Linked DNA regions of Daphnia pulex. The protein of the gene in region 2 purifies or fractionates together with the protein of the main gene of each other region. This does not show direct contact. Links are inferred from orthologs where the notes say so. Each region holds a gene or a part of one and is shown on either strand. Other genes may lie near its edges. The genes, in order: succinate dehydrogenase assembly factor 2, mitochondrial-like; succinate dehydrogenase [ubiquinone] flavoprotein subunit, mitochondrial-like.

Region 1 (6,783 bases), on a different chromosome or scaffold from region 2:
CATTCAATAATTGTATTTAGCGGTTGTTTTGGAGACCTTTCGGCTCCTCTGTGAATGTTGAGAGAAAGAGAAAGATTATTTCTGACTCGATACCATCAGCAAGCGAAGAATGGATACGGGAGGACACACGTGCAATGAAAAGAGGAGACGAAATCCCAGTAGTTTAGCCCAGGCCGATCTATGGGCCAGAGGTTGGGACGGCGTGTTCAATGGCCGCCCCCTCAGGCTAGCCCGACAACGAAAGGCACAAAAAAGTCGAAAGAAAAAAAATGGAATTTTTGGGCATAGGTTCCCCCCTTTTCTACGTCTTTTTTGTTTTTACAATTTAGTAGTTTTAGTTTGGGCAGATTTTAACCACCCAACAACAAAAGAAAGAAACAAAGATAAACGTTTGGGGGGTCTAGAATTGTGTAGCCCCAACCGGCTTCACAATTTTGAGTTTTGAGTGAGTTGATTTGAGTGATTTGAGAGGGAGGACACGGTTATGCACTGGGTTAAAAACCGTTCGAAGGACCATGTAGAAAATGTAATAGGGATGTTCGGCGTGTCGGGCCGTTTACTTACAGTTTCCAAGTTGAATAAATTAGACACGAACAAAACCGTGTCTTTTACCTCTCGTCTATTTTAACACACTCAATATTGTACAGTAAATTGGGGGGAAATAAACAATAGGGGGTAGGGTAACAACGACTGAATTTGGGGCCACCTATCGGGGGCCCCCAAGGCAATAGTCGCGTAGGTGCGCCGGTGTTGTTGTGCGGCGTCCTGATCTCGTCGTCGTCTGTTGGAATGGAATATTCCTAACAGTCCTGATGTTATTTTCTGTGGCTACACCATCCCTCATCCATCTGAAAACAAGTTGCACTTGAGGATTGAAACAAAAAGCATATCTGCTGTTGATGCTCTCAGAGAGGGACTTGAACAACTGCAAAACTTGAGTGATCATATCCTTAAAACATTTGAGGTAATTGTAATGAAACATCTCAGTTATATTTGAGTTAATAATTTGTATTATTACAGACAGCAGTGGTGGACTATAAGTCAAATCAGATGGAAGTGTAAAGTTTTCAATGTTGTATTGATAATCAGAAATACAACCTCATTCTTCGTAATACCTTTTCTTTAATGCACGGTATTTTCTTAGCATGTAGAGTGCTACAGAAACATAAATTATTAAGTATGTATAAGTAAATATTAATAATGTATTTCCTTTCGAAGAAAACAAGAAGTGATAAGTTACCTTCTAGTTCTTTGATAACAAATTCTCCTCTTGCTATTGCTGAGTCAATTTCTTTTTGGTCTTTCAGAGCACTGTTCTTCATGAAAGCATTTTTTAGTTTATTACGAAAATATGGGTAACCACCTGGGTAATCTTTGCCAAGATGTAACATCTACACAGTTCCACAGAAATGTAAGTGAAACATCTTCATGATCATAGTAAAAGCAGTAGGTTCACAATACCGTTTTGTACAATGCACGAGACTGCTGCGACATTTTAAAAACGAATGTGGATTGGTTTTATTTCAAAAATTTTAGTTTTCTCCTTAGTCCACAGCAATGGCACACAAACAAACCAACTGCTTAAACTGGTAGTAAATAAAAAACAAAACAAAATTACAACATGCTAAACATGCAGGACGCCAAAAGGCATAAAAATACGATCAATTTACAAACTCTTGAAAAAAAACATTACATCTACGTGTGAAACGTCAAGGAAAAATCAAGGTGAACTCCTCCTTTTGTAGTACACTTCGACCCTGAGGCAGTACTGTTCTAGTACAACAAAATCTCGTCTTCGTCTGCTGTACTTTTGTTGGGTGTTACTAAAACGCGAAGCGAAACGGCGGAACGCGAAACTCCTAAAACGCGAAACAGTGGTGCGAAACGGTCCCAAAAATTTTCGGGACCGTTTCGCAGTTTAGGCGCTAGAGGTCTTACTAAAATGCGAAACCGTAGACGCGAAACAGTCGACGTCAGTAGCTCAGTGCATTGTTAAAAGCATGGTTAAAAGTTAACTACTTACTAACCTAACTAACTACCGAACTGGCTGTTGATATGTATGTTGGCAGTTGAGTTTAAATGTGTGTACACGGAACGCTCTGTCTCGGTTTGTCTCATTGACAAAAGCAGCAGCAAAAAATAAAAAAAGCAGAAAAGTTGAAATTATTCGAGAGAGAAAAAGAAAAACAAGTTCGTTTCAAAGAGACTAAGTAGTCACGAAGACGTCGTTATCGTTCGTTTTTTTTGGCTTCTTCTTCTTTTTTACTCTTTTTTTCTCGTCGACTGATGTTAAAAAAAAAGAAAAAGTATTAATATGATACTAAAATGTCTACACGGTTGGTACTATTATACACATCATCCCACAGCTTCAAACCAAAAATATAATATTTCAACAGGTGTGGGTTAATGATGATGAGCACCGGTCTCGTCATATCACGACCACCACTTCTTTTATAATTTAGCGTTATAGACGACAAAATAAATCTATTCCGATCAATTCTGATTGCGAGTCAAACACATAAAAATGTCGTCCTTGGGAATATGATTTCTTTTTCTATCAAATTAAAAAAGAAAATAATAAAATAGAAGATTTATTTTTTGGGGTTATTTTGTTTAAGAGCCTTTTTTTTCTAAACGCTCCGGAGCATTCGAATAAAAGAGCATCCATCAGCAATGGCGAGACGTTGTGCAAGAGCTACTTCGGTTTGGCCACGCTCCAAGTGCTTCGACCGGCTTCGACAAAAGACGACGGGAAATACACAGCCATATGGCCAGGGTGAGAAAGCGCAAAGCGGCATACATGCATTCATTGCCTTACTCATTATCAAAATCAATTAACGGCGAATTATCTTGTGTAGAATTGATGCCCAAATAGCTATACCGGCCAGTTTAATTTCAGAAACTATAACCTATTTATGTCTGAGTCTGTAATTATTGACTTTGTACGAAAATATGTATGAATAAACCAACAGAACTTGTTACCAAGCCCATCTTTGTTATTCAATTACTCTTTGAATCTGTTCAAACTACAATAAACGGTGGAATTCAAGATGTTCATATTATTTATTTAAATTAAATAATAGTATCATTTTTAAATTTCAAAAGTAAAATATTTCGCAAGTAGTTTCGCAATTTAGGATGCCCTTGGGCGTTCAGAAATTTAAAAACTGGATATTTTTTATATTTCAAAAATCAAAGGTTTCGCAAATGGTTTCGCACTTTAGGATGCCCTTAGGCCATTGGACCCGCGAAACGGTCCCCAATTTTTGGGACCGTTTCGCACCACTGTTTCGCGTTTTAGGAGTTTCGCGTTCCGCCGTTTCGCTTCGCGTTTTAGTAACACCCACTTTTGTTTACGACTTTTACGTAACTCAGTAAAGACGTTTTGGCTAGCTTCATAATTTATAAAGAAAAATTTTCACAATGGCTCAATCAAATATTTTTTCTCGACTTCTACATCCAATCAGACAGTTAACATTTAGGGTAGGTGTTGATTTGTTAAAGAATGGTTCATGAAACTAAATTGTTATGTAATATTTTCAATAGTGTGATAAAGTTACCGTATTGAGATTTCTGTCATCCGACACCAGCAGCGGAGATATGTATGAATTCTATAATCTTAAGATTTTTTTTCATTGATAGAATAATATAAGTTGTTAAAAATATCAGGTACCCCTCACCTCAAACTGAACCATGGATTCCACCATATGTTGAAAGGGAAAATGAGTCATCCACTTTGAAAAAGGCCAGGTATTGGTTTTCTCTTCAATTACTTATATCTGAGTTTATTGTTGTAAACAATTTTCACATCTCCACAGACTAATGTATCAATCCAGAAAACGTGGTATGTTGGAAAATGGTTTGATTCTCAGCACATTTGCCTCACGCTACTTGGATGGAATGAGTGATGATCAAATGTCTTTATATGACAGACTGATCAATTTACCCTCAAATGATTGGGATATTTACTATTGGGCAACTGGTGTAAGAGAGACACCTGAAGAGTTTAACAATGAAATCATGGATCTATTGAAGGATCATGTAAAAAATAAAGATAAGGAATCAAGATTTAAACAACCTGATTTATATTGATGATTTCCATATGGATGATTGTATTTAGAATTGATTTAATACATCTTAAATCTTATTTTTCCCACCAACTTATTCTTGTATTGCATCAACTCTCATTCTTTGATGAAACCTCCAGCAAGTATGCTTTATAAACTTTTTCTTGGGCTTGCCATAGTTTCTCCAACTTCTTAAGCTGGCCTTTGCTGACTTCTTTGCCATCCTTGTCTAAGGTTGGCATCCCTTTCTCGTCGAAAGCAGAATATTTATCCGTTTCACCTAGATCAAAGAAACACGTTAATCATTTAAGTTATAATGATTGATGGCACAAACAATTAAATCTATCTTTACTTCTGAATAGTTCAGTGGGAGGCATGCGTCGTTTTGCTTCCTTTTCGGCTTCTTTGGCTGCTAATTCAGCCTTTTTACGTTCTTTCTCAGCTTTTTTGGCTTCCTCAGCCAATCTTTTGTCTTCTTTCTCCTTAAGCAGTTCCTCACGTGGGACAAGCTTCAAAGCAGGAGGCTGATTTTCCCGATCTTCGAGTCTTACGCCCAGGTTAGGCAAAACGTCATCTCGAATTTGATCGCAAAGTTCGAGAACGCGTGTTGCACGTAATTGACGAGCCTCTTTTCTCACTTCTTCTCGGAAGTCTGCGAGCGCTTCAAGGACAGGCATTACGATTTCTTCAACATTATCGGTACCTCCACTAGACGATTCAGAGGGGAATCCAAGGGTTTGCTTGCCTTCAATCACGCCAAAGATCTGGAACAACCGCGTTACATATTCGGCAATGACCTTGATTAGAACCCGGTTGGCAGATTGCTTCAGCTGTGCCAGGTATTTATTGCAAGCCGATATCATGCTTTTAATCGCTTCCAGAGACGTTTTAGTGTCTATGTTATCGCAGAGAGCTTCCCGTACTCGATTTTTCGTTTCGACGAATCGGGTGTTGACTTCCTGCTCAGCTGTGCTCCATTTTTGAAAATATTCTGCGGCAGTATTCGATGACGGGCCATTCCTCAAAAGATCCTTGGCATTTAAGAAGAATTCCCTTAGCATTTTTTCGTAACTCGATGCTTCATCCATTGCACTGTCACTATAGTCGAGTGTTTCTTTCCATGGGTGAAGCAAGAAAAAGATGCGCAATTCGCGGCTGCTATTTCTACTCAACGCATCTTGTATGGTGATGAAATTCTTGAGGGATTTAGACATTTTACAACCCTGTAGAATAATGTCCATTATAGTTTTCTATTGGGTGGAAGAACGGAAAAAGTTTACGGAAGTTTGTATAGTACCTGGATGGTCAGATGACCAGTATGAAGGAAATAGCGAACCCATTCATCATTATCGTAGTAGGCTTCAGATTGGGCTAGTTCATTGTCGTGATGAGGGAACTTTAGGTCGACGCCTCCTGTGTGAATATCCATTGATGACCCTAGAATTGCACTTGCCATCACACTGCATTCAATATGCCACCCAGGACGTCCTGAATAGAATAAAATAAAATAAAATAATTTAATTATTAATTCATTACGTTGGTTCGACATTTTTTAGTTGAATTTTACCTTTCCCCCAAGGAGAATCCCAGGAAGGTTCACCACTCTTTGAAGTTTTCCATAGCGCAAAATCGTTAGGTGATTTTTTCTCACTTAACCGATCTTCAGAGACACTTAGATCACCTTCTCCTTCTTGCAATGCCTTTGAGTCACCGTAAGCTTCAGGTACCAATTTCGCATACTTGTGATTCTTTTGCGAATCGAACTTTGAGACATTGAAGTATACAGAGCCATTTGCTATACAATGACAAAAGAGTCATTAACCGTGACGAGATAATAGAAAAAAAGAGATAAAAACTCACCTGAATATGCAAGTCCACGTTCAATGATTCGTGAGATGTAATCCACGATCTCCGGGACATATTCGCTAACACGCGTAATAACATCGGCTGGTAGAACATTGAGAGCGGCCATATCTTTGTAAAACTCTTCTTCCCAATGTCGCGGAAGAGACGCGAAAATTGCGTTATCTGAAACATCCATGCCGTGCTTCGAGTCGAGCCAATCGCTCAAGACGTCTTTGGCTTCAGCCAACAAAAAGCTCTTTGCTTCGGATAATCCTTGACCAAGCTTGATTGTTTCGGTGAATTTTTCAATCGCGGCAGTGACTTTGGCCAACATCTTCTCCTGCATAACTTTCTTGTCGGGATCGGTGGTTACTGCCATTTGCTTAGAAAGACGATCAACAGATTCCTTGACATCTGTTTGAAGAGTTTCAAGTTCACTCATCTCAGTTGCATACTTTTCATATAAATAATTTTGCCTTGCTCTTTTAATAATTTTGTCGTCAATATCAGTGATATTCATTACATAAGTAATGTCATATCCAAAGTAGTCTCTTAAGACCCTTCTCAGGATATCAAAAGACATGTATGAACGGGCATGTCCCATGTGGGATGCATCATAGACTGTTGGTCCGCAAGAATACCAGGTGATATTTTTCCCATTCTGAGGAGTAAACACCTCCTTCTTACGAGTCAGACTATTGTAAATCTTCAGCTCCATGCTGCTGTTGTTTAAGGGGGCTTCAGACATAATAGGTGAACAAGGTACAACCAATTTCTCAATGTGTTCCAAAAATTATTATTTATCCCTTCGAAACTTCTCACTCTGTAAGTAAAATCTAGTCATTAATATTTTGAAATGTCTGATGCAATA
Region 2 (8,187 bases):
GTGTCTTTGGTTTCAGCGTTTGTGAGGGTCATCGTCGATATCATGTGCGTTCCGTTCTTAACATACGTCTGACTAAGGCGGTGGCTTGCATCGCTCAACTATTAAAAAAATAAGAGACACACAAATAAATATTTAAAAAAGGCAAATAACTTTCAATAAAACTTATGAGGTGATTTATACTTCCGGATGTTTGGCAACATAGTCGGGCAGTTGCCACGCCTGCCACAACGAATTGTCCTTATATAATTCTACATCTTCAAAGATGCAAGTCAAGGTGATGTTGGAACCTACAGCAAACACTTGCTCTGGAATATACGGAATTAAACGGATTTGTTGGGCGGAACATTGTTTGGCTACCAGGATCAAGTGTACTAAAAGTAGTCCTCCTATCCATCTCGAATTGACTGATGAAATGCAAAGTCGTACAGGGGGTTCATAAAACATTTTGACAAATTACAACACACGAAGAATAAGCTTTCTCACTTTAAAATGAAATTTAGATTCACGACACTCACACAATAAGGGTTATCAATTATCACCGAAAGGATTTCAAGGCTTTTCAAAAAAAAAAATCGAAATGGTTTAAATACTCACACCAGTTCGAATACTAAGGTCGCATCGATGTTTCGAAACGGACAACAAACAACATTGAAGCAGGGGGAGCTGCGGAGGCTTTCTCCTTTCTCGGAAACGATTTTAACCCCTATGATAACCATATAAGGTAATTCTTTCAAAGCCTTAGGCATTTTTCATTTTCGATAGTTGAAAGAACCTCAGATCTTTGTTTTCCTGTGGTTACATAATACATATTGGGGGTGATGTTGAAACCTACAGCAACCAGCACTTGTTCTGGAATATCCGGAATTAAACGGATCTGTTGAGCAGAACATTGTTTGGCTACCAGGATCAAGTGCACTGAAGAAATTAGTCCATCCACCTCTTCCTTTTCGTAACTTTCATCGTAATACATTTTACGAGCCATTCCGAAATCGGCTACTTTAGCCACTCCATTGTCAGCTAACAAAACATTCGGGCGGCCAAATCACCGTGAAGAACCTGTTAAGAGCAATAATAAAATGTTCTGAAATCATAATTAATGAATGCTGATTAAGGAAGAAAAAAACCCTGGTGTCTTTTACCTTTTTTTCAGCTAAGTACTCCATCCCTCGGGCAACTTGAAAAGACCAAGAGATCAAATTACTTTGACGTGGCCTTGGTGAGGTAGTATAGGTCGATAGCGGACGGAGAATTCTAAAAAAGAGAAAAGAAACTCAAGGATCAAAAGTTACTTAGATGTAAATGATTCAAAACAATAAAATCTAATTACTTCACCTTTCAGAATTTTCCCAACCTAAATTTACAAAAATTGCATGAAAAAATTTGTCAAGAACACCTCAGTAAAATGTATTAGTCTATTTTCAGTGGCTACAATCGGAACACGGCGATAGATACAGGAATTTATTAGTTGTATTTTAATACACGCGCAATGCGGGGGGAACCGTCGCACACTCTTTCTCGTCTAGCGTTTCATCGATGACGGGGCGGTATTGCAAAGTGACATCTCCTTTCTCCTGATCACACCAGGAGAGTGTGTGCTTGCGCCAGTGCTGCTCTAGAGGTTGCTTCTGTTGACCTTCCATCGGCTTCTTGAAGTCGTACTCGTCGACACGGTCTTTGAAATCTTCGCGGGCATGGGCACCGCGAGATTCTTTCCTGGCTTCGGCACTGTAGATGGTCTGAATGCCGTTCAACATGAGGTTCTGGAGCTCAAGGGTCTCAACCAAATCAGAATTCCAGACTAGGCCGCGATCGGCCACCTTGATGTCGTGCAATGATGGCCAAAGATCAGACATCTTCTTACATCCCTCTACCAAAACGTCTCCAGTACGGAAGACGGCTGCGTGATTCTGCATAGTTTTCTGCATCTTGCCACGAAGTTCGGCCGTGGTGACACTACCATTGGCAAAACGAAGCTTGTCCAAATTCGCCACGGAACTTTCGCCAGCGTTCTATCAAGACAAATGATTGAACAACACAAAATCATAGAAAATCAAATAAACGAATATTACCGGACTCAATTTTCCGATAGTTTCGGATGGCTTGTTCTCTTCGGCAATAGTTAGGGCACATGCTCGGCCGAAAACGACCAAATCGAGCAAAGAATTGGCACCCAGGCGGTTAGCACCGTGCACGGATGCGCAGGCAGCTTCTCCAGCAGCGTACAAACCAGGTACAATAACATCAGCTCCATCTTTGTGCGTAATAACCTGGGGATGAAAATAAAATTATTTCAGGAGTCGTTTCATTTGCAAACAAGATGATAAGCGATGTTACCTGGCCCTTGAAGTTCGTGGGAACGCCACCCATGTTGTAATGGACGGTAGGCAACACTGGGATCGGCTCACGAGTGACGTCAACGCCGGCAAAAATCATGGCCGTTTCAGAAATACCAGGAAGGCGTTCAGCCAACTGTTGTGGAGGAAGATGATGAAGTTGAAGGTATACATGATCCTTCTCGGGGCCACAACCGCTACAAGAGCATCAAAGTTTGAGCATAATTATACATTTCTTTGATTTGGCAAAGATATTACCGTCCTTCACGGATTTCAATAGTCATAGCACGAGATACGACGTCACGTGAGGCCAAATCCTTAGCCACTGGAGCGTATCTTTCCATAAATCGTTCGCCTTCGCTGTTGATAAGGTAACCACCTTCTCCACGGCAACCCTCGGTAATGAGACATCCAGCTCCGTAAATTCCTATTGTTATGGTCAAATTTAGTCCAAACGATCTAATAGGCTAATTTGCAATTCCTTTACCAGTAGGATGGAACTGAACGAACTCCAAATCTTGAAGAGGAAGTCCAGCACGAGACACCATGGCGTTACCGTCACCAGTGCAAGTGTGAGCAGAAGTACATGAAAAGAAGGTTCGACCATATCCACCGGTAGCGAGAACAGTGTTCTTGGATCTGAAACGATGGATGGATCCGTCCTCCAAACAAAGAGCGATCACGCCGCGGCATTCGCCTTCCTCCATCAACAGATCCAAAGCAAAATATTCGACGAAGTAATTGCAATCGTAGCGAAGAGACTGGCCGTACAAGGTGTGAAGAAGAGAATGGCCAGTACGATCAGCAACGCAGCAACATCTAGTTAATAATTAAGGATTTTTAATTTCTGCCTTGAAGTTTTAATAATTTAGGTATACCTGTGAGCTTGTCCACCTTTGCCATAATTGTAGGACTGTCCACCAAAAGCCCTCTGGTAGATTTTGCCGTCTTGGGTGCGGCTAAAAGGCATACCTTAATGATATGCGAAGGGGAAATATGATCAATTGTCTGCTGTAGAAGAAATTATTGATAAGTGGGACATACCATAGTTCTCCAACTCAATAACTGCGTGAGGAGCTTCTTTGGTCATGTAATGGATAGCGTCTTGATCTCCAAGCCAATCTGAGCCTTTAACAGTGTCATACATGTGCCACTTCCAGTCATCTTTTTCCATATTTCCCAGAGCTGCATTAATTCCACCTTGGGCAGCAACAGTGTGTGATCGGGTGGGAAACAGCTTTGTGATCACAGCTGTTTTGAATCCTTTTTCAACCAAGCCAAAAGCTGCACGAAGTCCAGCACCACCAGCACCAACAACAACTATAAAACAAACAATTAATACCAATTTTTGTTTAACTGTTATGTAATCAAAATACCTGCATCATAGGTGTGATCAACAACTGGATAGTCTCGGGAAATCTGATTACAAGCCAACAGCAAATAGAAAGGGTTAATTTTTCTCTATCTGATGGGTCTACCAATAAAATTTTACAACTAACCTGGCTTGTTCCAACATTAGAATCCTTGCGTCCATCAATGGTGAAGTGGAAATTACGGTTACCAATCACAGCTGGCCTTGCATTAAGCTACAAATTCCATTTTGGTAACATCTCAATTAGTTATTTGGTCAATATCTTGGGTGAATATCATAATAATACACTAATCTTGATAAATTTTAAAGTTTAACTAAGTTTTATCGACGTTGATATTTTCGACACTCACCAAAGGAGAGGACACCTTTCCAGCCAATTCCAGTGAGAGCTTCAAAATGTTAGCCATGGTTTAAGTGAGAGGTAAAATTGAACCTCTTTCGATGACGAGAACTGCGTTTTTGACTAACTTTTTGGATAGCCAAATTGACCGGACAACGTCGTGTAAAAGTTACGTAAGGAAATGAATAGAAAATCATGCACGGTGTAGAGCTAGCGCTCCAAGCGGATAATAATAGAAGATCCAAAGGACAAACATGGGATAAACAGAAATACCCAAAATTCAAAATATTTTCACTTGAGTAAAGAGAAATGAGTCAAATGAAATTACCCTAAAATAGAAACTCAAAATTTCGGGTACTTGGACTTGGATTTTTAATCAATATCCTATATTTTGAATTTAAGTTTTAACTAGCATAACAAACAAATATTGTTAGCCACTTATCAGCTAGCTAGTAAACTAGCTAGAGCCCAATCAGAACTTGACGTCGTGAATGCAAAATACCGCTCACGATATTCGTTATTGGGACAATCCTTTGATTATCATGAAAGTAAAGCGACACAATCTCTTAAAGATGGCAGTGTATTTCATTGCGATTGTCTTACATTTCAGCACCATATGAAATCATAGGCTTAGTTGTTTTTATTTGTACTTTTGTAATTATTTTTACAACTATAAGGCAGCAGAAGGCGAAGTCAGAAAAAAGCTCAAACCATTCAGTTATGGAAATCCGCTTTCGTTTAGAAGTAACAGAAGAATGTCGAAAGAGTGAGTCAACATAAAATTAGTTAATGCTGGTGATTTAAACGTGAGGTGTCAATAATTCCAAGGACTAAATTTGACCTAATTCCCTTGAATCTTCAGGGTTCGATGGCGATGATGTTTAGTCAACTGTATAACGGACGAAAGAGTCGATGCCATTTGACGTTATGAAATGTCAAAATCATTACACTACAATTTACTAGTCCTAGCTTTATTCAGGTGATTTGATTTTAAGGTTCGATGGCGAGAGACAAGATCCTCGACAACAGCAGGATCAGCCAACGTTGAAATATCACCCAGATTGTCGGTCTCATCCGCCGCAACTTTACGTAATATTCGTCGCATAATCTTGCCGGATCGCGTCTTGGGCAAACTAGGGCAGATCTATTGAAATGTACCACGTCGAGAACCAACATTAGCATTATGATTAAGAAATTTTCCTGCCATTTTATTATTATACCTGTATTACATCCGGAATCGCATAGGCAGCAATTTTCTGCCGGACAATTCCTCTTAATTCAGCTTCTATCTTGGCATCAGCGACGAATCCGTCCTTAAGAGTGACGTAAGCGTAAATGCCTTCGCCCTTGTCACTACAAGGATACCCCACAACGGCTGACTCTGCTACAGACGGATGTTGACCCTGTTGGAACGAAAAACTGTCATCCGAGTTCTTTTAATTTAAAATATTTGTTGTAATACCAGGGCATTTTCCACCTCGGCAGTACCGAGTCGATGTCCAGTAACGTTGATAACGTCATCCATTCTTCCCGTTATCTGATAGTAGCCATCACTGTGTCGAACAGCACCATCACCGGTAAAATAGAAGCCATTAAAAGGTCGATAATAAGTTTCCAGGAAGCGGCTGTGGGTTCCATAAATGGTGCGTGCCATTCCCGGCCAAGGCTTTTTCAAACACAAGGCACCTGTTACATCATTGCCTAACAACTCCTCCCCCTTTGCAGAACAGATTTCCAATCAGGATGAATTTGGAAAATAAATAAATATTAGACATTACCTTTTCTCCTAGAATAGCAGGCCAGATTCCGTACATCGGTCTCATCGGCATACCGGGACGAATTTCTGATCCAGGAGCCGAGGGTGTTGGACTGATGCAAATGCCTCCCGTTTCCGTTTGCCACCAAGTGTCCACAACCACGCATTTCTCTTTGCCCACAACTTTGTTGTACCAGTGCCAAGCCTCCACATTGATGGGTTCACCCTGGGAAGAAAATAACGTTGAACCGTGATCACGTTTAATTAGACACTTAATTTACAATCATACCACAGAGCCTAGAGTGCGAAGGGAGCTGAGATCATACTTTTCGACATGTTCGTCACCGTATTTCAATAATAATCGAATGGCCGTAGGAGCTGCATACAATTGGTTAATTTTTAGTCGCTGGACAGTCTCCCAATATCGACCTGTTGGGAAAACAAGAATTATGTAACGTCAACATTTGAGATCAAATGAATAGTTAAATCGAGACCTGGATTGGGATATGTTGGCGTACTCTCGAACAAAAGAGTCGTGACTCCGTTGGCCAACGGGCCGTACACGACGTAAGAATGGCCCGTGATCCATCCAATGTCAGCCACGCAACCAAAAATGTCTCCTTCTTTGCAATCGAAAACTAAACTATGTGTCAACGACGCATAAAGAAGATAGCCAGCTTGGGAATGAACTATCCCTTTAGGATTTCCCGTGCTGCCGGATGTGTAGAGCATAAACAGCAAATCTTCGCTGTCCAAAACGGCCGGTTCACATTCGCCGCTCTCTTTAACCATCGCCTGACAAAAATTTTCCGTTGGTTAATGTTACACTTAATAGAAAAATTAATTATTTTAAACCAACCTCATCGAGATCGACGTCAAGAGGTGATGAAACGACAGGATTTCCTGTTCTTTTGGCTACGAGAATAGTTTTAACAGTCGGACATTTTTCGACCGCTGTCACAACCGTTTTCTTCAATTCAATTAATTTGCCTCCTCGCATCCCTTGGTCAGCAGTAATGACGATTTTAGCTTCAGCTAATAACAAACAATTACAATTACAATTACAATTACAATTTAAAGTAAAGTAAACATTTAAGGAGTCGATACCGTCGTTGATGCGACTGGCCAACGCTTCCGCACTGAATCCAGCGAAAACTACGGAATGGACGGCTCCGATACGGGCACAAGCGAGCATTGAGGCGACCGCGAGTGGACAAGGTGGCATATAAATTGCCACTCTATCACCTTTTTGCACTCCTTGGGACTTGAGGACATTTGACACTTGATTCATCATCGTGTATAATTCCCTGTCAGCAATCAATTAAAATGAATGTTTTATTTACTAAAAATTTGTTATGGTGTTAATATCCAACCCGTAGGTGACCCGCTCCTCTTGTCCAGGTTCATCTTTTTCCCAGATGAGGGCAACTCGGCTGGGATCCTTTTCCTTATGGCGATCGACACAGTTGACTAACAATTGACTTTTTAAAAAATCATTCGACTCATTTGACTTGTTCTCTTTGATTAGCGCTTTACCTGAGACATTAAGTTGGCCTCCCAGGAACCAACGAAACGAGCCCGTTTCCATGTTGCAATCCGAAACTTGCTGGAAGTCGCGGTTCCAACGCAAGCGCAAACGGGCAAGAGTACCCCAAAAGAGGTCCGTCTGTAAATAGATTGTCATTAATGAACGTTGTAAGATTTCCGAAAGCGGATAAGTTGTAAGGGCGCGTATAAAGTATTTCACCTGATTGATGCTTAAATTGTAAAGCTCTTCGTGACTAGAACAACCAGGAAACAAATGTCTCAGCTCAGGTAGACTGCAATTGAAATTGCGGAGAATGGGGGAATCCATAGTAAAGGGTTCAGGTTTCAATCCGACCTAAAAATAAATGTTTCTCTCATTTTACTCTTCTGCACATAAATTGCGTATCGACCAAACTAAGCTTATTGAAGGAACCAGGCAATTCTTAGCGATTGGCAATTTGCCACATACGCAATTAATCCACCTTGTGCAGGAAGGAGAAAAGATTGTCGGGACTTAAATCTTCCCCAGTTAGGCTCGGTGGCCCCCCAGCTGCGAGTGTACTATGGTAATCAACGTCAAGGCAAATATTGACTGTACGTCTGTGTCTACAATTACATAACTAGACAATGTAAATGTTTATCTAACAAATGAAATCGGTAGATTACTACTTGAAAAATGAATAAAATTAATCAAACTAACTTGGTTTGTGTCACTCTGGCGTCCTTGAATGGTGAAGTGGATGTAACGAATTCCCATCAATGCCGGCCTTGGATCAAACTAGAGATTACAAGATTTATAATTTCTGTAAACAGATTTTTACATGTGATCGTTCTCTTTTTTTCCCATCTTTTTTTACAA

The links.
Region 1: the proteins of succinate dehydrogenase [ubiquinone] flavoprotein subunit, mitochondrial-like (region 2) and succinate dehydrogenase assembly factor 2, mitochondrial-like purify together in Homo sapiens (co-immunoprecipitation; 3 studies listed by BioGRID and IntAct, counting the BioPlex papers as one, with this or other methods). This does not show direct contact. The link is inferred for Daphnia pulex from reciprocal best matches to the Homo sapiens genes SDHA and SDHAF2.

What each region holds. Positions count from the first base shown.
Region 1 is NC_060019.1:9,162,462-9,169,244, reverse strand, and holds succinate dehydrogenase assembly factor 2, mitochondrial-like, read left to right. Parts: upstream 1-3,345; 5' UTR 3,346-3,423; coding exon 3,424-3,483; intron 3,484-3,546; coding exon 3,547-3,602; intron 3,603-3,669; coding exon 3,670-3,750; intron 3,751-3,818; coding exon 3,819-4,092; 3' UTR 4,093-4,147; downstream 4,148-6,783. Other genes in the region: probable DNA-directed RNA polymerases I and III subunit RPAC2, read left to right, coding at 808-964, 1,021-1,062; electron transfer flavoprotein regulatory factor 1-like, read right to left, coding at 1,100-1,155, 1,241-1,391, 1,462-1,494; cysteine--tRNA ligase, cytoplasmic-like, read right to left, coding at 4,178-4,347, 4,420-5,290, 5,365-5,555, 5,635-5,862, 5,928-6,660.
Region 2 is NC_060026.1:13,762,426-13,770,612, reverse strand, and holds succinate dehydrogenase [ubiquinone] flavoprotein subunit, mitochondrial-like, read right to left. Parts: upstream 4,316-8,187; 5' UTR 4,113-4,315; coding exon 4,056-4,112; intron 3,920-4,055; coding exon 3,833-3,919; intron 3,753-3,832; coding exon 3,710-3,752; intron 3,654-3,709; coding exon 3,378-3,653; intron 3,306-3,377; coding exon 3,212-3,305; intron 3,153-3,211; coding exon 2,821-3,152; intron 2,761-2,820; coding exon 2,592-2,760; intron 2,531-2,591; coding exon 2,335-2,530; intron 2,268-2,334; coding exon 2,070-2,267; intron 2,010-2,069; coding exon 1,473-2,009; 3' UTR 1,380-1,472; downstream 1-1,379. Other genes in the region: vascular endothelial growth factor receptor 1-like, read right to left, coding at 1-98, 181-444; acetyl-coenzyme A synthetase 2-like, mitochondrial, read right to left, coding at 4,995-5,189, 5,266-5,448, 5,508-5,762, 5,824-6,027, 6,091-6,230, 6,296-6,596, 6,661-6,836, 6,909-7,108 and 4 more. UniProt on the Homo sapiens protein: Flavoprotein (FP) subunit of succinate dehydrogenase (SDH) that is involved in complex II of the mitochondrial electron transport chain and is responsible for transferring electrons from succinate to ubiquinone (coenzyme Q).